Sus scrofa: one gene and its partners. The protein of the gene in region 1 purifies or fractionates together with the protein of each later gene. This does not show direct contact. Links are inferred from orthologs where the notes say so. Each region holds a gene or a part of one and is shown on either strand. Other genes may lie near its edges. The genes, in order: CASP8, tumor necrosis factor receptor superfamily member 10B-like, TNFAIP3, SQSTM1, baculoviral IAP repeat-containing protein 2 and tumor necrosis factor receptor superfamily member 10B-like.

Evidence for each region.
Region 2: the proteins of CASP8 (region 1) and tumor necrosis factor receptor superfamily member 10B-like purify together in Homo sapiens (affinity purification with western blotting; 13 studies listed by BioGRID and IntAct, counting the BioPlex papers as one, with this or other methods). This does not show direct contact. The link is inferred for Sus scrofa from reciprocal best matches to the Homo sapiens genes CASP8 and TNFRSF10A.
Region 3: the proteins of CASP8 (region 1) and TNFAIP3 purify together in Homo sapiens (affinity purification with western blotting; 3 studies listed by BioGRID and IntAct, with this or other methods). This does not show direct contact. The link is inferred for Sus scrofa from reciprocal best matches to the Homo sapiens genes CASP8 and TNFAIP3.
Region 4: the proteins of CASP8 (region 1) and SQSTM1 purify together in Homo sapiens (affinity purification with western blotting; 5 studies listed by BioGRID and IntAct, with this or other methods). This does not show direct contact. The link is inferred for Sus scrofa from reciprocal best matches to the Homo sapiens genes CASP8 and SQSTM1.
Region 5: the proteins of CASP8 (region 1) and baculoviral IAP repeat-containing protein 2 purify together in Homo sapiens (affinity purification with western blotting; 4 studies listed by BioGRID and IntAct, with this or other methods). This does not show direct contact. The link is inferred for Sus scrofa from reciprocal best matches to the Homo sapiens genes CASP8 and BIRC2.
Region 6: the proteins of CASP8 (region 1) and tumor necrosis factor receptor superfamily member 10B-like purify together in Homo sapiens (affinity purification with western blotting; 14 studies listed by BioGRID and IntAct, counting the BioPlex papers as one, with this or other methods). This does not show direct contact. The link is inferred for Sus scrofa from reciprocal best matches to the Homo sapiens genes CASP8 and TNFRSF10B.

Annotation. Positions count from the first base shown.
Region 1 is NC_010457.5:104,943,357-104,946,016, forward strand, and holds part of CASP8 (caspase-8), read left to right. Parts: intron 1-1,202; coding exon 1,203-1,704; intron 1,705-2,660. UniProt on the Homo sapiens protein: Thiol protease that plays a key role in programmed cell death by acting as a molecular switch for apoptosis, necroptosis and pyroptosis, and is required to prevent tissue damage during embryonic development and adulthood.
Region 2 is NC_010456.5:7,344,288-7,347,086, reverse strand, and holds the end of tumor necrosis factor receptor superfamily member 10B-like, read left to right. Parts: intron 1-134; coding exon 135-448; 3' UTR 449-2,299; downstream 2,300-2,799. UniProt on the Homo sapiens protein: Receptor for the cytotoxic ligand TNFSF10/TRAIL. The adapter molecule FADD recruits caspase-8 to the activated receptor.
Region 3 is NC_010443.5:26,483,272-26,486,771, reverse strand, and holds part of TNFAIP3 (tumor necrosis factor alpha-induced protein 3), read left to right. Parts: exon of another isoform or gene 1-818; intron 819-919; 5' UTR 920-934; coding exon 935-1,229; intron 1,230-3,500. UniProt on the Homo sapiens protein: Ubiquitin-editing enzyme that contains both ubiquitin ligase and deubiquitinase activities.
Region 4 is NC_010444.4:78,761,199-78,765,442, reverse strand, and holds the start of SQSTM1 (sequestosome-1), read left to right. Parts: upstream 1-1,444; coding exon 1,445-1,763; intron 1,764-3,873; coding exon 3,874-3,969; intron 3,970-4,244. UniProt on the Homo sapiens protein: Molecular adapter required for selective macroautophagy (aggrephagy) by acting as a bridge between polyubiquitinated proteins and autophagosomes.
Region 5 is NC_010451.4:33,040,478-33,044,406, forward strand, and holds the start of baculoviral IAP repeat-containing protein 2, read left to right. Parts: upstream 1-1,129; 5' UTR 1,130-1,267; intron 1,268-1,764; exon of another isoform or gene 1,765-1,946; intron 1,947-3,042; 5' UTR 3,043-3,158; exon of another isoform or gene 3,159-3,929. UniProt on the Homo sapiens protein: Multi-functional protein which regulates not only caspases and apoptosis, but also modulates inflammatory signaling and immunity, mitogenic kinase signaling, and cell proliferation, as well as cell invasion and metastasis.
Region 6 is NC_010456.5:7,258,544-7,260,998, forward strand, and holds part of tumor necrosis factor receptor superfamily member 10B-like, read right to left. Parts: exon of another isoform or gene 2,378-2,455; intron 1,801-2,377; coding exon 1,487-1,800; 3' UTR 1-1,486. UniProt on the Homo sapiens protein: Receptor for the cytotoxic ligand TNFSF10/TRAIL. The adapter molecule FADD recruits caspase-8 to the activated receptor.

The DNA of each region.
Region 1 (2,660 bases):
TAAGTATGTAGAAAACAAAGCAATGAAAAATAAAGCAATTGCTAATTCCAGGAAAGACAAAAAAAAATTAATAAGAAAGGATGCATAATTTAAGAATATTGTGTGTACATAGTAGTAGCAATATTTCTATTGCTTTCAGTAGAAGCTGTGAATGTATAAGAGCACCAAGTGCTCATCACCCACAGTGGGAACTCAAAAGTCTAAAATTTATAGATGAATAAATAACAATGTACCCAAATTCATTACAAAATGGAGGCTAACACTAAAAAAAAAAAAAAAAAAAGTAGTTAAAAGTTGAAAGTGGCTGCCTTCATACTAATGACTAGACAGAACATGACCAAGTAATAGGGAGGAGTAGAGAGGGGACGGCTGTTTTTTTTGGGTAATGACTTTTAGTTCTACTTGACTTTTTAAACATTCATATCTTGTATTTTGATGAACAGTTTTGAGAAGGTTTAGGATAAAATAAGTATGGATCTTTTATCCAGGAAAAGTTATTTGCACCTTATTTCTGATTATGCAAGTAATACAGTTAGATTTTAGACTGGTTATGTTGTAAGCCTAAATAATAGCTTACCCATCTTGTACACTAGTTGAGAAAAGACAACAGGCCAGTAATAGCACTCTCCCCTTTCTCATTTGCCTCAGGACTGGAAATGTTTGCAGCTAGTGGCAGTAAACACTAAAAGCTGTGGAGTTCCCTGGTGGCTCAGGGGGTTAAGGATGTGGTGCTGTCACAGCTGTGGCTCAGGTCGCTGCTGTGGTGTAGGTTCAGTCCCTGGCCTGGGAACTTCTACATGCTGAGGATATGGCCAAAAAATAAAGTGAATGGAATCCAGCTACTAACATAGACAGGTTTATTCTTTTGTTGTTGTTGTTGTCTTTTTGCCTTTTCTGGGGCCGCACCTGCAGCATATGGAGGTTCCCAGGCTAAGGGGTCTAATCGGAGCTATAGCTGCCGGCCTACGCCCGAGCCACAGCAACGCTGGATCCTTAACCCACTGAGCAAGGCCAGGGATCGAATCCGCAACCTCACGGTTCCTAGTTGGATTTGTTAACCACTGAACCATGATGGGAACTCCAGACAGGTTTGTTCTTCAGTTTTCATTCAAATTCTTATCTGATCAATGTTCTCGCTAGTTTTGGGTTATGGTCTGGGAACTATTGTGGTGTAATGTGACTTTTCTTGTTTCACTTTTCAGCGGCTCTGAGCAAGACCTTTAGTGATCTTCATTTTGAAGTAAGGCCTTACAAAGATGTCACAGCAAAGGAAATCTGTGATGTTCTGGAATACTACCGAAACTTGGACCATAATGACAAAGACTGCTTTGTCTGCTGCATCCTCTCCCATGGAGACAAGGGCATCATCTACGGCTCTGATGGGAGGGAAGCCCCCATCTATGATCTGACCTCTTATTTCACTGGTTCGAAGTGCCCTTCCCTTCTTGGTAAACCCAAAATTTTTTTCATTCAGGCTTGTCAAGGGGATAAATACCAGAAAGGTATAGCTATTGAGACAGACTCAGAACAGACAGAAGCCTATTTAGAAATGGATTCATCACTTCAGAAGAGATATATCCCAGACGAGGCGGACTTCCTGCTGGGGATGGCCACTGTGAACAACTGTGTTTCTTACCGAAGCACCATGGAGGGGACCTGGTATATCCAATCACTGTGCCAGAGCCTGAAAGAAAGATGTCCCAGGTAATTTTTGTTTCTTCAAACTTGCATTCATCTCGAAGTATCTGGCTGTGGATCGCCTAGCTGTAATTCTCAGGTCAGTTGCGATGGGGGAGAGACGGCAAGTGTGAGCATCTTGAGTTGACCGATAGAAAAAACTGAGATACTTCCTGAGGAGTTTCTTCTATTTAGGACCTCATACGACAATCAGGGTGTCATAGCGTTGGCCACGTCGTAAAGTCATGGAGTCCAGCTCTATCTCTAGGCAGAAACATGACTGAACCGACTCAACTAGTTGGGAAGGCTTCCAAGAAGGCAGTAGCCCATTTCAACGTTCAACCTCCTCCAACCCTGTCAAAGCTCTTTAATAGCTAACCAACCTCAAACCCTCTTGTGGAAAGTAAGTGCCAAAGAGGAGAAACCTTTTATATTCCCACGAATTTGGCCGGATTTGAAGCCACACAAAATGTGGGAAAATATCTTTCCCTCATTTATTGCAGCTGATGTTTCCTTTAGCTAAATGATGGTTTTGTGTGGCACAGCTCACCAAATGCACACACACACACACAACCAGCAGATAAGTAGCAAGGAATCTTCCGCAGGTTGTTTCTAGTTCTACGTCTCATTATGTTATAAGTGTATGAAGAGCAAGAATTGCCCATGGCAGATAAAGGACTGAACCAGAACATCCCCGCTACATTTTCGTTTTGCAACAGACCAGGAATCCTGCGAGGTTCCAGGAGGCTAGCAACAGAAGTGAATGAACAGGTTGCCCAACTAAGCTGTTAAGAGAGGATAGTGAGGAGTTCCCGTCGTGGCGCAGTGGTTAACGAATCCGACTAGGAACCATGAGGTTGCGGGTTCGATCCCTGGCCTTGCTCAGTGGGTTAAGGATCCGGCGTTGCCGTGAGCTGTGGTGTAGGTTGCAGAAGAGGCTCGGATCCCGCATTGCTGTAGCTGTGGTGTAGGCCGGTGGCTAC
Region 2 (2,799 bases), on another chromosome or scaffold:
GGGATGCAGAGCAGCAGCTGCCTCAGCAGGGGGAGCTCTTCAGGTCCCGCCCTGGGGTCCAGGCCTGCCCGAGGGTCCTCTGCCCTTTCTGAAGCTGGTCCCAACCTTCTCTCTGTGACTTTCCCCCAACCTAGGCTTGAGGCAGTTCTTTGATGACTTTTCCAACATCGTGCCTTGTGATTGCTGGGACAAACTCATGAGAAAGATGGACCTCACCCAAAATGACATCCTTCAGAGCAGAGATCGCGCTCGGAACACCGGGGATGCCTTGTATGAGATGCTGGAGACCTGGGTCCGCCGCAAAGGGCGGGAGGCCTCAGTCAACGACCTCCTCGATGCCTTGGAAGCACTGGGGCAAAGATACGCAAAGGAGAAAATTGAGGACACGCTGGTGGGCTCAAGAAAGTTCGTCTTCAAAGAAGGTGAAGCTGGTGCTGCTGTGTCCTGAGTGTTTGAGGACCTCATCTTCCAGTTCTGGACACGTTTTTTATCCAAATGGACTTGCTCTTTTTACTCTCATGTATTACAATAGAATCTATGTTTTGTTGGGGAGGGGGTGTAATCTGTAATACTGTTTGTTGTATGACTTTCTGCTATTTATTGTTTTTTGCGGTTTTTTTGCTGTCTTAGGACCGCACCTAAGGCCTGTGGAGGTTCCCAGGCTAGGGGTCGAATCGGAGCTGTAGCCGCTGGCCTACGCCAGAGCCACAGCCACTTGGGATCTGAGCTGCATCTGCGACCTACACCACAGCTCACGGCAGCGCCGGATCCTTAACCCACTGAGTGAGGCCGGGGGTCGAACCCGCAACCTCATGGATCCTAAGTCAGGTTCATTAACCACTGAGCCACAAAGGGAACTCCTGCTTCTATGTTTTTTATATGTATTTATAGTAGCCTAGAAAAGATTCTGTGAAATAACACTGGGTTGTTTACATGGGTTGCCTTTTTGAGAGGTGCGAAGCCACAATGATTGGGTGTCACAAGTAATGGCAGAAGAGAGCCCAGCACCGCTGTGGGGAGCACTGGAGGAATCCACTCTCCTTCAAAGGCAGTCTCGCACTCTTGGATACCTGGTGACCTCTGTGGTGCCCACTCTTTTATACCTGAAAATCTCATAGGTGTGTGACTATTTCTTTTATTTACCGGTGGGCGTTTACAAGTCAGCAGAGCGTGACGAGACGTGGCATCCCTGCACAGCCCTGTGTCTGGTGTCTGTGAGCTGGGCTGTCAGGCGTGGGCCTCCGCCGGTTCTTCGTTGGACCTCGGTGCTGAGGGTGGGATGCAGGTTGGGTGCAGATGTTAAGTGACATGGGCGTCTTGCGTCTGATCTTGTTAGTGAAGCTTCGGCTCCCTCTGGGTTCCCGGGAGGGAGGGGAGGGATCTGGTCCCAGTGTCTGCCGTGGTCTCAGGGAGGAAGTGCAGTTGGTGGTGGTGGACTGTGTTCAGTGTGGGCTGACTCGGCACTAGATGGGCACTCGCGGTCCGGGTGCTCTGATCTGAGCCTCAGAACTGCCTTTTGCGGTCTGAGTTGGCTACTCGGGCATCTCAACCTCTTCGTAAGCTTTGGCCTCCTGCAGAAACAGACTCACACAGACATGCCAATTCCTAAACACTGTAGGCATTGGCCTAAAATGGCTGATGTGTTGGGGTTCTGTCCTTTCATTCCTTTTTTTTGTTTGTTTGTTTGTTTTAAAGCCTTCCATTAAAACCCTTCTTTGTAGGCGTCCAGTTACTGCAGGATGATCTTATGGAGGAAGGGCCACTCAGGAGTTGTGGTCTTTTCCGTCTCAAGACTCTGTGTGTTGCCTTCCCCAAAGCTGATGTGGCCAAAGATGGAATTGCCTGACATTTAGGCACGTTCAGGGTATGGTGTCGGGAGTCAACTGGAGTGTTTTGGAAGGGCTGCCCCCCATGGTCCTGCTGTTATAAGCAAGCCCTCTGGCCCCTTCTTTCCGGATATCTGGCCCTTCTCTCAGAGGATTTCTGTGAGTGCCCTTCTAAAGTATTAGTCTTATCAGTGTTTGTCATATCCCTTCACATATTTATTGTGTCTTTTACCAGTGAAAACCTTCTAGAGATATGAAGTTGTTTCCTTTATTGCTTCGTGTCAGTGCACGGGAAGTTTTATTTAAAAGTTTTATTTAAAGGTTGGGTTCTGTGCATGTTTCCTCTCCATGGGAAGATCCCTTTTAAGAATTTCTTGGAAACCTTAGACAATGAAAGAAAAGCCACTGGGCACAAAATACCATGTCCTTATGAATTTGTGACCAAATTAAACATGCAATTCTGTATTTAAAAAGGTGTGTGTGTCTTTCTTGGCCATCTTCCCGTCCTCTGGAGCAGCTCGGAGTGACAAGGGTGCAGGGCATGTGTTCTTGCCGTGACCTGCTCCTTCCTTCTTTATGCCTCGGGCTCGGCCCGCAGGGGTTTCTTCTGCTCTGACTCTGGATTTCCCCCTGGAATCCGGCCCCTGCTCCCTCCCTCCCTCCCCTCCCTGCCCTTCCCCTGGCAGAGAGACCTGCGCCTGGCCCGGCCCCCCACAGCCCCCCCCCCCGGTGCTGTCTCTAGGTCACACCTGGGCCTGCAGGGCTCTCGCGAGATGCGCACTGGCTCTGACAGAGCCCTTGGGATGAGGTGGGTCCCTGAGGAGGGGGGCCCTGCTGGCTGGGGTCACTCTGTGACCCTCTCACCTGTGGGCCTCCTGGAACTCCAGGGCCACCTTCCCCTTCCCTCTCTGCTGGCCCCTCTGCCCCCTCATCAGTGGGCCAGGTGGCTCTGCACTGCAACCTCATAGAGACC
Region 3 (3,500 bases), on another chromosome or scaffold:
CATCTGAGGGTTGGTACCTGGAGGACGATAATAAAATTTGGTTGGCAGTTGAGTTGATGTAATTGAGCTCCACTATCTGCTCTTGGCAGTGTGGAATTTATCATTCTATTATTGCCATATTGTTATTATTAATTTCTTATTCTGATGTTGTAAAGTTCAATGGAGGGGTTCTGAAAGATGGCTGATGGCTCGTAAAATTGCAAAGCATCTTGCTGGAAATAGGCTTTTTTGTTGGTTGTAAAACATTCAGTTTAATGCTTTGTATGTTATAGTACATTTTATAAGTAAGCACTTTATAAGTATTTCTCTTTGGGACTGAAGAGGAAATTCTAATCAGCAGCCTAGGTGGCAGCATAAAATTGCAGGACTTTTTACAAAATATTTACTGCCTTTTGCAGTGGGGAGGTGGGGATGCGCTTAAAAGAGGCAAAGCAAGACTTTGCCTAAGAGCAGGGTTGCTTGGTGGTGCTCTTAGGAGAGAAAACAGGCTCGTCAGGACTCCGTTGTGCCTGTAACTGCATTCAGGGCTCCTAAAATCCAGTGGCTGCCCCAGAGCAGCATCGAAGTGAGATGGGAGCTTGGGTTGGTCACTAGACACAGTACCTGTTGCTGACAGACAGGCTTGGCTCCCTGACAGACGTTACTGAAAACACGGGTTATTCCCCTCCTCCTCAGTACCCACTCCCCGCCTTCCTTCTCTTGTTTAGACTAATCTTTAAAAGTGATGTAACTTACAACAGTCCAGTGTGAGTTAATCTGTGGGGCCAGCTAGTATCCTGGGAGCAGAGGTGACTAAGATCTTTTGCCTCTTGATTAGGGTAATGACAAGATCAAACACTGGGGTTTCCTGCAGGCAGGTATATAGGAGCCCTATCAAAGTCGAGCTAACGGAATGGGGTTTTCTTTCCCTCCTCTTCAGGCCTTGTAGAGCACCATGGCTGAGCAACTCCTTCCCCTGGCTTTGTATTTGAGCAACATGCGGAAGGCTGTGAAGATAAGAGAGAGAACTCCAGAAGATATTTTCAAACCTACCAATGGAATCATTCACCATTTTAAATCCATGCACCGATACACTCTGGAAATGTTCAGAACCTGCCAGTTTTGTCCGCAATTTCGGGAGATCATCCACAAAGCTCTCATCGACAGGAACATCCAGGCCTCCCTGGAAAGCCAGAAGAAGCTCAACTGGTGTCGAGAAGTGAGGAAGCTTGTGGCACTGAAAACGAATGGTAAGACTTGCTTTTGTCAGTGGGGTGGCTCCCAGGATGCAGGGTCCCATTCATTAAAAGGTGGTAGCTCTTATTTGAACCCAAGCTCAAATCTCTTGAGGCCATAGATAACCTTAGTAGAGAGGCTCTCTGAGGGACGTGTGAGGAAAGCAGGCTTCTTTTGTGAATATTTTAATTAGGGATATTTTCTAGCTGTGTATGTTAGAGAGCAGAGCTCACTGAGGCTTGGGGACTGCATTTCTAGACACCATCCCCCTATTAAGTATATGCTTATAGTATATATGTACGACTTCTGTATCTAATTCTTGCAACTGTTGAGTCATCTGTAAAAAACAAAATAAAACCCTTCTATTACATTTAGAATAGATAAGCAATGAGGTCCTACTGTATAGCACAGGGAATTATGTCTAGTCTCTTAGGATAGAGCATGATGGAAGATAATGTAAGAAAAGGAGTGTGTGTGTGTGTGTGTGTGTGTGTGTCTGTATGTCACTTTGCTGGACAGCAGAAATTGGCAGAGCATTGTAAATTGACTATACCTTATTTAAAAAAGAAAAAAAACTTTCCCTAGCCAGTAATAGAAAAGGCTTTAAGTTCAAAAGGAAAGCATGGTGTGAAAACTGGTAGTGTTTCCCACAGCTATTAGAAAATGCTTCTGTCGGTGGCCTTATACTTTTTGAATCGGTGGCATTTTATGGGTTAACCAGTGGCTGTTGTTGGCTCCTCCCCTGCCTAGGATTGTTGCCTGTGATCCCTTGATATGAACTAGAAAGATACTTGAGATTTTTAGCCCAGATTTTAGATGTCTCCTTCATTATTTTTAGGGAGTCCTCGTAATGCATTTCTTGCTGTCTGTGACTCTCTGCCCAATGGCCATTTATAACTAGTAGCTGTGTTCCTCTTCTAAGCTTTACTGTTTTGTTTTAATTATTTCCTTTGAACAAGAGTATGTACATCACAGAAACATTCAAGCATGCTGTTTTGGGCAGATACGAATTCTCCTTTATAAAGGTAGCTAATTATTACAGGAAGCAAGTAGACTGCCCTAGACAACTAAATGCTTACAGTCTAGGTAAGGCCAGAAATCTCCTGTCCTTAGCTCAGTGACGTTCCTAAACCATACCAATCAAAATAATGCATTGAAGGGCAAAATAATACACCTTTGTTGACAGTGAAATGATAAGAACATTAAGTTCATTAAGTGACTCGGTACATTAACTTTGGCCATTTTTGGTTGGGTAACTTGGCACGAATGAGGTATGTGTTTTTTTGCTTTGGTTCTGAGGGTCAGGCGCCTTGCCGCATCATCTTGCTTTTATTTTTGAAGCATAGTGGCTTAGAAACATGGATAGAAAGAACACTGGGGCTAGCTAGTGTTTACATTGTTCTTGGCATTAAATCGAGTCATGCTTAGAAGTAGGTAATTATGTTAAGTCACTATCAAGGGGTTTATATTCCTGACAGTTTGTGGTTTTAACTCTCTCCCATTTTATTACAAAAAGAAATGGAGTCCACTTTGGGAGAGTTGGAAACAAAGAGATCCTGTCAAATTAGAAATGTGGTAGAAGGAGAAAAACTGTATTGTCATGAACAGAAATTTTAGGTTTAACTTGCCCTGGTGCCTTCAGGAAGAAAAAAAAAAAAAAGGAATATAAAGAGTAAACACTTGTTTTGCAAAGATAATGTCATTTAGATCAAGGATTCACGCTACAAATAAAACTCCAAAAGCAAATGAATTTAGCTGTCATTTTCTGGGAAATAGGGATTTTTAGGCTCAGAATCCCTGTATTTCCCTACTTTCAAGAAAAGTCCTTAAAATTCTGGAAAAGGATGAAAAGGTATTTAGAGGAGGGAGGGAAACAAATGACTTTTCCTCTCTGATTTTTATGACCACCTTTTTTTTAAGCCCTCCCCCTAGAGGAGGGGTCTACAAAGTCAGTGGTCTGTTTGGGGAGGGGGTGATTCACAAGTTTGCATTTGAGGATATGAGACTGCGGTGAATGAGGAAGGGAGTAGGTGGCATAAAATTGAAACTTCATGTGAAAAATTCCAGCGTCTATTGGCTGCAGCGATTTCACTTGTCTAATGAGTAGCCCTATTCCAGCTCACTCTGACCACGCCCACTTGGAAAGTCCAGGGTGCACTTCGCAGTTTAAATGTCTACACACCAGAACAAAAAGTACAATAGCTGTTGCTCAATTGCTAGTCAAATAACTTAGCGCTGGGGAATTCCAGATGTTACTTAGGGAATTTTATGCTGGTGCATCTCAA
Region 4 (4,244 bases), on another chromosome or scaffold:
GAGGAACAAGCCACATCTGTGGCTAGGTTCCTGCTGTGATTCCACAAGCAAGTCAGCAAACTAGCCAAACCCAATCTACCTTCCCCATGGTCTCTGGGTTTCCCATTCCCTTAAGGTTTTTTGTTTGTTTGTTTGTTTTTGTCTTTTTAGGACTGCACCTGAGGCATATGGAGATTCCCAAGCTAGGGGTCGAATCAGAGCCGTAGCCGCTGGCCTCCACCACAGCCGCAGCAACCCAGGATCTGAGGCTAGTCTGCAATTTACACCATAGCTCAGGGCAACACCAGATTGTTAACCCACTGAGCAAGGCCAGGGATCAAACCTGCGTCCTCATGATGCTAGTCAGATTTGTTTCCGCTGAGCCACGATGGGAACTCCCATCCCTTTAAGTTTTACTGACTTCCACAAACCCCACCATGAAAAAAGTGAGTGTGACTCAGCAGGTCTGACTTTCTACCTACAGAGCCCTACTTGGGAGGATTCATAGGGTGACATACCCGCCTGCTTACCTTCTTCTAAGGCACCTCCTCCCCCAACAACCCCCTTCCCCTAGGCACTTTGAACAGGTCACTTCGGTTACATAAAAGAGTGTTTCTTGGCTCCTGGGGGTGGGGTAGGGTGGGGGCTGTTGATGTAATCCCTGGGCTGCCCATGAGGCCAACAGACCTGAGATCTTTCAGGCCATTGGGCACCATTTGCTGAGCTGAACCTTGAGCTGACAAGTGGGGATGGATGGGGAGTACCGATGGGGAGTCCTTAGGGCTTCAGTGAACATTTGGTGGCCACTGAGGCTCCAGGAAGCCTTAGCAGACCCCCCAGCAAGGTGGGGATGGGAAGATCCTGTGCTCTTCTGGCATCTCTCAACCCTACCCCCTATTAAACTGGAAGCTCCTCTGGTGCTCAGGTTTGAGTTGAGTGTCTGTGCTTTAACCCAGTAAAGGGCCATTAGGGGGGATGCTGGGGGCGGCGTAGTGGGCTGCCACCTGAGAAACTGGTGGCAAGAGCGGGCCCTTGACAAGAGTGGCAAGGTCAAGACAGCGCCTCGGGAGCCAATTTGTTGTAGCTAGCAGTGTCAGCAGTGTCCCCTCTTCCTGGCTTCCAGCCTCTGTTGCCCACCTCCCTCCTGAGCTGTGCATCCCCGGTGGCCTGGGTTCCGTTTTGCTGAGTCACGGCCTGGTCAGGCCTGGGAGGGGTCTAGGGCGGGACCCTGGCCGGTCCCTTGCCCCAGGTATAGAGGTAGGCGCCAGACTTAGATGTCAGCGTGCGGGGCCGGCCTCTTGGTGTCCCTGGTGCACTTGGGGCGGTGAGGAGAGGGGTCGGGAATGAGGGGGCTCAACGGCGGGGAGAGGTAGCGAGGCTGGGGCTCCTGTAGGGCGGCTCTCGCGCGACGGCCGGGGTGGCTGGAGCCAGACCTCTGACACTCAGGCCCCGCCCCCAGGAAGCGATGAGGGGCGGGGCTTCACCCGCGTTCCCTACAAAGGCCGCGCGTCCCCTCCCGCTGCCGCCGCCGCCGCCGCTACCACCGCCGGGCTCTTCTCTTGCTCCCCAACTGGTGGTCATGGCGTCGCTCACCGTGAAGGCCTACCTTCTGGGCAAGGAGGATGCGGCCCGCGAGATTCGCCGCTTCAGCTTCTGTTTCAGCCCGGAGCCCGAGGCGGAAGCCGAGGCCGCGGCTGGCCCCGGACCTTGCGAGCGGCTGTTGAGCCGGGTGGCCGCCCTGTTCCCCGTGCTACGGCCCGGCGGCTTCCAGGCGCACTACCGCGGTGAGCAGGCCGGGCGCTCTCGGGGAGCGGTGCGGGGCCGTGACGCAGTGCTGCCCTGCCGGGCAGGGTCGCTGCTCCCTTCCTTCTCGTGGGGCTTGGGGCCGCCTGCGGGAGTTTGATCGCTCGTTGGGTGGGCGGTGGCCCGCGTGGGTTCCCATTTCGGCCTTGGGTGCCATTCTGGTAGCCAGGAGTGGTGACCACAGCCAGACCTGTGGGGTCAGGCGCTGCCAGTCCCCTAGCGGATCGGGCCCGGCGACGTAAGAGGCCTCCCCTCCCCCCACCATGATGGTGCAGATCTTGGGGAGGGCGCGCGGGGGCGTCCTCACGGCGGGCACGGGGTGGTTAGAGGGGCACTCGGGTTACACTGCCACTTGGCTACTGCCCAGCTGGGGCCCGCTAGCCCCAGATGGGGGGTTCGGATAGTAACCCGGAAGAGCCTGGGCGGGCAGATGAGGGGGAAGGGCTGGCTACGCAGAAAAGTGACGAGGGTAAATAAGCAGTGGGGAGCCCTCAGGGCTGCACAGTCTGGCCGGAGGTGGGGAGGAGAGACCATAGGTTGCCCAAGGCCAGGCGGGATCCAGACGTTATCCCGTTGGCAGCGGACAGAGGGACAAGGTGAAAACATTCTCGAGAAGTGTTGGTGTAGGGACAGAGCTCACGAGCCTGCCTAGTTTCTAGCTGAGCTGGCGTGACCGGTGGCTGCGCGGGGTGGAGTTGGGGGAGGTTGTTGTGACTGGGAGGGAGGCGGGCGGACCAGGCCCGCCGGTGGGTGGGGCCGTGCCGGGACCTCCCTCAGGACTGCTGCCAGCTCGCCAGCCCCTAGCTTTTTCAAAAAAATAACTTTGAGTTCCTGTTCACATACTGTAGTTTAAAGTGTTGAGTTTTTAGTATATTCACAGATTTGCGCAGCCATTATCACAATCATCTGGGAACATTTTCATCACTTTATACACCAACTCTGTTAGCTTCCTCCCATCCCCATCATCCTATCCTCCAATCCCCAAGCGACCCCTAATCTCTATGGATTCCCCTATTCTGGACATTTCATGTAAAAATATGTAGTCTTGTAACTGGCATCTCTTATTTACATACTATTTTCAAGGTTTACTTATGTTGTAGTATGTATCAGTACTTAATTCCTTTTTGTGGATGAATAATATTGTCTTATGGTCATGCCACATCTTGTTTAGCCATTCATTAGCTGATGGGTGTTTAGGTTGTTTCTGCCTTTTTTTTTTTTTTTTTTTTTTGTCTTTAGGGTCACACCGGAGGCATATGGAAGTTCCCAGGCTGAGGGTTGAATCAGAGCTGCAGCTGCCGGCCTACGCCACAGCCACAGCAACACCAGATCTGAGCTGTGTCTGCCACTTACACCACAGCTCATGGCAACGCCAGATCCTTAACCCACTGAGCGAGGCCAGGGATTGAACCCACATCCTCATGGATACTAGTCGGGTTTATTTCTGCTGAGCCACAACGGGAACTCCCTATTTCTGCTTTTTGACACAGTCCCTGATTTTATGGTAGATGTTGTGTTTGGTGGTCCATAGACCTGACCTGGCTTGCACATGTATTGTGTGGTTGGTTCTGTGTGGTGGTGCTTTAAATCATTTCAGCTGACATCTAAAAGTTGGAGGCTTCATACAAAGACATAATTTTAGCTTCGTTGGGGAGGAAGCAGGAAGATATATTCTACTTTCCTAAGCCACAAGAGGTCCAAGAATTTTGGAGGGGCTGGAACGCCAAGGAGCCAGTTGCAGATGGGGACCTCCCACAGTTGACAGGGTCTGGTTGGATGTAGATGGAGACAGCACCTTTCTGACAGAGCAGCTGGCCCAGAGGCAGAGTGGCAGGTGGCTGGGTGCTACCACTGCTGCCCACTGCACACAGGCACTCCACCTCCCAAGTGTGCCTGGGCCCAGCTTGGAGTGCTCACCTTCCAGGCAGTGGCAGGGTGAATGAGAAGTTCGGCCCCAGCCCTGCTTGCCCCTGGCTCACCCAGGTGGGCGTCAGTTTATAGCCCTGCACAGGCCCCTTTGGCACTGGCCTCAGTCCTTTCAGCAGCTTGTGTCCAACTGGGTGTTGATGCGCTGTCTTTTAAACATTCTAGATGAGGACGGGGACTTGGTTGCCTTTTCCAGTGACGAGGAACTGACGATGGCGATGTCGTATGTGAAGGATGACATCTTCCGTATTTACATTAAAGGTAAGGGGCTGCTCTGTGCTGAGTCAAACCAGCTTGAGGTCATGGAGAAGTTGCTCCAAAGAAGGGGTGAGGAGACTATGGGCCGTTTAAGGCAGGGCCGGGATCGTCTCTGAGGAAGGGTCCGTGTCCACCATGGTGGGGAGGTCAGAGGGTCTTTGGGTTCCCTCTTTATTGTGCCTGCGGGCCAGCTTTGGGGTTGATTTTAGTGCCGGACAAGTCTAAAATGGTGCAGACGCAACTCCCTGCTGCCTCACGCCGGCCAGGCTGCACATGCC
Region 5 (3,929 bases), on another chromosome or scaffold:
AGAAGCCCTCCTGTTCTGTTACTGACTGGCAGGCAGAAATGACGGGGAGGAAATGGGAAATGGTTCAGGGTCTCGGAATTCCCCTGGCTGCCTAATTAAGTGGCTTGTTATTTGGAAGTTTTTTTTGAAATATTTGCCCCCTGGAGTTCCCCTGAGAGAAGAAAGCATCCGATATCATTGACAATGAGTGTCTTCACAGAACATAAATTAAAAAATTCTCCTGCCGCCATTCAACTAATACTGCATGCAACTGTCTGTCTTCACCCCATTGCTAAAGAGGGGGCTGGAAAACGTCCCTGACTAGTAAAGGTAGTATTTTGTATTTACAATTTTTTTCTGACAGTTAACTTTTAAAATGTGATGGACAAATGGGCTCCTTTATGGTTCGTGTACGATTTACATATACACACATCTACATAAATGTATATATTCCGTTCTAGCCACATTCAGAAAAAAGGGGGAGTGAAGCCTGGCCTGAAACACCGTGTTCACTTTGCTAGTGATGAAAATAGGACACTTTTCGTTAATGCATTCGTCTCCAGAAGAGAAAAACAGAAAAGATAGTGATTATATAATAGATATGCCCCCCAACATTATAGAATCAAGGCTTCAAAATTAATCTGAGGCTGTTCTGCTTTCCAACACTTGGCTTTTTTCCCATCCCCAGGGCCAGCTGTGGAAGGTTGACGCCAGGCAGCTGCAAAGGGGAAATGGTTACAGCTGTTTACTTAGTTGCAGCCGAAACGCCTCCGGGCTGACTCCACCCTCAAACGCCGTCATCCACGCCGAGGGGAGGGTCCCATTGGAGGAATCCGGCCGGGAACTAATCCCGGCGAGTCGACGTGGGGAGAGGTTCGCCACCCGCGCCCGGGCGTTTCCCCAGGGCTTCCAAAGATTCAAACTCGACGGCTCTCGCCACGTCCCGCTCAGGAGGATGAGAGGGACAGCGAGGGAAAGTGCTCTCGCAGCGAGATTGAAGATTAGCACACCAAGCTCACGCCCAGCCCTGCCTTCCCCTGAGGGCTGACCGCGCGCTGGGTCCCGCTCTCCGCCCACAGACTCCGGGGCGCCCTCGCAGAGGGAGTGACGCGCACCCGGTCGGCGCGCTGACGTCATCGTGCGTCTGCGTGGGCCCTGAGCGGGCGGGGGGGGCCCCAGGAGCTCTAACTGCGCAGCCCAGCCGGCAGTTCAGCCCGCGTCGTTGCTCCCGGGACTGTGGAGGCTCCTGGTGGCACTGCTGTTTCGTGTTGGACGCGTCTGCCCTGTGGTGAGTGCAGGTCCTTCCGGACCCAGGCCTCGCGGGGCTGGGTCGGGGCGCGCAGGCCGCGGGGCCTGCCTTCCCCGAGACTGCAGTTGGGCTGGGGAGGACAGGGCCGGGAGTCGGGGGTCGCAGGTAGCAGTTAGCTCTTTGCTACTCTACTGTCGAAGATGCTTTTGTTTAATTCGGAAGCTCCAGTTCCAAGACATGCTGTCGAAAATAATTTTTTTAATTGACCTGTTTACAAGTCTACTCTGGCCGCTTCTCACTTTTCTGGCCCTTGGCCTTTGGCCAAGATGTTTTAAGAGTTTTTGCAGGGTTTTAAACTTAACCCTCGGTATTCCTTTATTTAATATATTCAAACGGAGACAGTAACGTATCGGCGAGATCTCTTGTTTCAGATAGGTACAACCCCGCTTTGCCACTTTAGTATTCTATTGTATATTGCGAGAAATAACTCGGGGAAATTAATAAAATTCCATAATTTCTCTTCTTTTTCCTTGCAGTCTGTCTCCTTCCCCTTCCCCCCAGCCACAGTTTGCCTAAAGAGGGCAAATCCTGTACAGTTCCTGCAGATTAAAAATATGCAAAGATAGGACCTCAAGTCCTTGTGTAACGGAGGCATTCATTCAAGCGGTCACATTCCCAAGGCCAGTGTTTCATAGGCCATTGTGCTGTGTTTTGTTTTGTGAGTTGCTTTCTGCGAATTGTTGCTTTGGAATTGTGAAGGCATTGTATTCACGAGTTCCTGGTGAATTTTAACTCTTAGTAGTTTTTTTGCCTAGTTCTGGAGAGACTTGACATTAAGAAATAACGTTATTGTCTGGATAACTGCTGTACTGTTGATGATGGGTGCAGTCTATTTTTCACCCTCCCTTTTTACCGCTAGCAAATTGCCATAGATAATTATCCTTAAACTAAATTATAAGTTGTCACCAGAAGAGGGGAGGAGGAGTTCCCGTTGTGGTGCAGTGGAAACGAATCCAACTAGGAACCATGAGGTTGTGGGTTCGATCCCTGGCCTTGCTCAGTGGGTTAAGGAGGTCTCAGACGCGGCTCGGATCTGATGTTGCTGTGGCTGTGGTGTAGGCCGGCAACTATAGCTCTGATTGGACCCCTAGTCTGGGAACCTCCTTATGCCCCGGGTGGCCCTAAAAAGCGCGCGCACACACACACACACACACACACACACACACACACACACAAGAAGAAGAATAGGGGAGGAGACCAGGGGCGAAGTATTTTACTATGTCCATCTGTCTTCAAAGTAGTACATAAAAAAAAAAAAATGTGTACTTATTGCTAAGGGGAGTATACTGCATTTATTTTAAAAGGCTTTGCAATTAATTTTGGTGACAAATTGCTGGAATTAAGATGTATTATTTAGGAGTTCCCGTCGTGGCGCAGTGGTTAACGAATCCGACTAGGAACCATGAGGTTGCGGGTTCGTCCCTGCCCTTGCTCAGTGGGTTAACGATCCGGCGTTGCCGTGAGCTGTGGTGTAGGTTGCAGACGCGGCTCGGATCCTGCGTTGCTGTGGCTCTGGCGTAGGCTGGTGGCTACAGCTCCGATTCAACCCCTAGCCTGGGAACCTCCATATGCTGCGGGAGCGGCCCAGAAATAGCAACAACGACAAAAGACAAAAAAAAAAAAAAAAAAAAAAAAGATGCATTATTTAAAGTATAAGTCACTTTTAGAATTTACTGAATAAATTGAGAAAATTATAAACTGTATTTACTGTGAGAATATGGTTTTCTAAAATAGCTTTTGTTTTTTCTTTTCAGATTTACAGTCCTGAAGAGTCTACTTTTGCCCTCTCATTTTTTCCCATTGAAGTAATAAATCCAGTTGTGGAGACTCAGAAACTTTATGAAGGGATATAGTTTGCATTCTGTGCAATGTAATTTTGTGTATGAATTATATTTTTAATTTATGAAGGGTTTTCAGAAAGAAGGCTAGTAGGGTTAATTATTGGTACATTACGCATGAATAGTGATTCTGTTGATAATGCAGTATCTTCTTAGGCTTATGTGTTAACACTAGAAAGGACAAACTGTATCTTGATAAATATTTACCTTTAATTACAAAATGAGTAATATACATGCATGATTCTTAAACAAAAAAAGTTAATTTTTTAAGAAAGTTTCTCCTGTGAAAATTTTATGGTTAACTAGTTAAATTTATGGAGAAAATACCCTCAATTGATCAAGTGTAATAAACTGTTTGCAAAGTTAGGAAGAAAAACAACATAATGATGCTGCAGGTAATGGAAACAAATATAGACAATATTTAACAAAGATGGAAGAGTTATCAGTTTTTGAAGGAAGCAGAATTCATTTCCTTTGACATCACACAGGCTTCAAGAAAGCTAGTAGGTATTGACATCCCCGAAAGTTGTTAGCTGAAGCTAATTTAACCTTCTTAAGTAAATACTGCGTTGGTAAACTGTGAAATTAGCTTTTAGATAATGCGACCATATGGAGACTTTAATTCTTTTTTACTAGAATAAAAGATTTTTTAAAGTATCATACTAAAGTGCTGGTAGGGAAAGAAGCCTGCATTTAGTTTTTTTCCTCTTGTAGAATAATAATTAATTGGCTTTATAACCAGGCTTTGTAACTTATAACCAAAGGCAAATTAAAGGCATAATTTAGGTATTCTATGCTTGTTT
Region 6 (2,455 bases), on another chromosome or scaffold:
CAAGCCTTGGCACTACCCACCAGCAGGCCAAGACCCAGCTCTACTCCCCAGTGGGCAGGCACAGGCCCTGCCCTCCAGGAAGCCTACACCAGCCTCTGGACAGCCTCCAGAGGGCAGGGGGCAGACACTAAGTGCAAAAAACCTCACAATCCTACAGGCTGTGGCCCCAAACTGTTCTCAGACCCTCTTCTGGGACCAGCCAAAATTGAATCAGTAATAATAACAATGATAATAATAAACCCACAAACCAAATAATAAAAAAAAAACCCCAACGAGCCTTCACAGAATAATTCCACCAAACATCGTGAGAATTAACACCTATCTTTCTCAAAATATCCCAGAGAATTGTAGAGGAAGGAACACTTCTGAACTCATTCTACGAGGCCAGCATCAAACTGATACCAAATCCAGACGAAGATATCATCGAAAAGAGAAAATTGCCATCCAATATCACCGATGAACATATGTGCAAAACTCCTCAACAAAATATCAGCAAACCAAATCCAGCAATACATCAAAAGAATCTATACCATGATTACGTGGGATTTATCCCAGGAATGCAAGGATTTTTCCAATATCTGCGAATCAACCCATATAGTATAGCACATCAGCAAACTGAAGCATAAAAACCATATGATCATCAAAACAGATGCAGAAGATTGTGACAAAATTCAACATCCATTTATAATGATAATTTAAAAAGCTCTCTGCTAAATGGACATAGAAGAAACATACCTCAACATAATAAAGCCTGTGTATAACAGACCCACTCTCTGCTCATTTGTAAACATTTACCAATAAATAATATAAATAATCCCATATCTATAAAATAATCAGTTGGAAATGATGGACACTTTAAAAGTTGGTTATCTACTCCTAGACAAGTTAAACTCCCATATGAGGGAGAACTGAACTCAATGATGCCTCCTAAAGCGATGGGCTTTTTCCTCTTCCTTCTTTGGGTTTCTTTTGTTATTGTTGCTTGCTCCTATTTTAGGAACTCATGCAGGCAACCGAGTAAGTGCATTTCCAAAAAGTTTTGTGCATTTATACAAATACGTACAAAAATATAAAAATAGACAAATGTATATCATAAAATATCATAGTACAGTTAGACAATTAAGAATAAGCATATCAATCCAAATGGAACTCACATTATAAAAAGTACAAGTAAAAAGTGCAATTCTGTTAGGATAAGAGTGTCCTGAACAGAATGATATCCTAAATCAGCTCTCAGTAAATTCACGCACATATTCATAAATGTTTCCACCATCGCTTATCAATGACATTTCTCAAAAATTACTCTAGTTTAACCAAAAAGTTCTAGAACTTTACAAGTGTGGCATATATCCGAAGGTAGACTTCATTCAAGTATTTGGTCCAAGTACCTGATGTTTCTTTCAAGCTGGTATCTAATCATGCTTCCCTTTCCAGCAAAAAACATAAAGTAGGGAAGCTGTGGTTTCATAAAGAGATCCTTTTACACTCAGGACACAGCAGCACCAGCTTCACTTTCTTTGAAGACGAATTTTCCTGAGTCCACAAGCTTGTCCTCAATTTCCTCCTTTGCGGATCTTTGCCCCAGTGCTTCCAAGGCATCGAGGAGGTCGTTGACTGAGGCCTCCCGCCCTTTGCGGCGGACCCAGGTCTCCAGCATCTCATACAAGGCATCCCCGGTGTTCCGGGCGCGATCTCTGCTCTGAAGGATCTCATTTTGGTTGAGGCCCATCTTTCTCATGAGTTTGTCCCAGCAATCACAAGGCACGATGTTGGAAAAGTCATCAAAGCACTGCCTCAAGCCTAGGTTGGGGGAAAGTCACAGAGAGAAGGTTGGGACCAGCTTCAGAAAGGGCAGAGGACCCTCGGGCAGGCCTGGACCCCAGGGCGGGACCTGAAGAGCTCCCCCTGCTGAGGCAGCTGCTGCTCTGCATCCCTGACCTGCTTCCCAGCCACAGAGAAATCAGGCCACACGCTGCCTGGGCCCCCTATGTCCCCAGGACACCGTAGGGAGTCAAGGTCACCAGAGAATCCTGTCCTAAGTGAGGGAGAAGGGCCCACCGGGGAGGGGAAACGGACGTCATGGAGGGAGAAGGCAGTAGTGGCAGGAGGCAGAGGGGGCCACCTGCCCCTCTCAGGAGACTCAGGGTGGCACCTGCCCCTCTCGTGAGACTCAGGGCCCCCAGCTGCACTGGGGCCCCAGCAAGGCCTGGAGCTTGGAAGGTCTCTGGCTTCACACTCAGCTCGGCCTTCCTGAGCTGGATGGGGACAAACAGACGCTAACATGTGAGGTGGAGCCGAGGCCGCCCGCCTCGTGGGACTGTACTGGGGATGCAGGGCAAGCGTGTGCAACGCAGTGCACACCACTGTGCATAGGTACCTAAGGTGGCCGCTGAAGGAAGTTCATATTCTCTCACAGCTACGCTGGAAAACGTAAAATGTTAACAAGTTATACTAA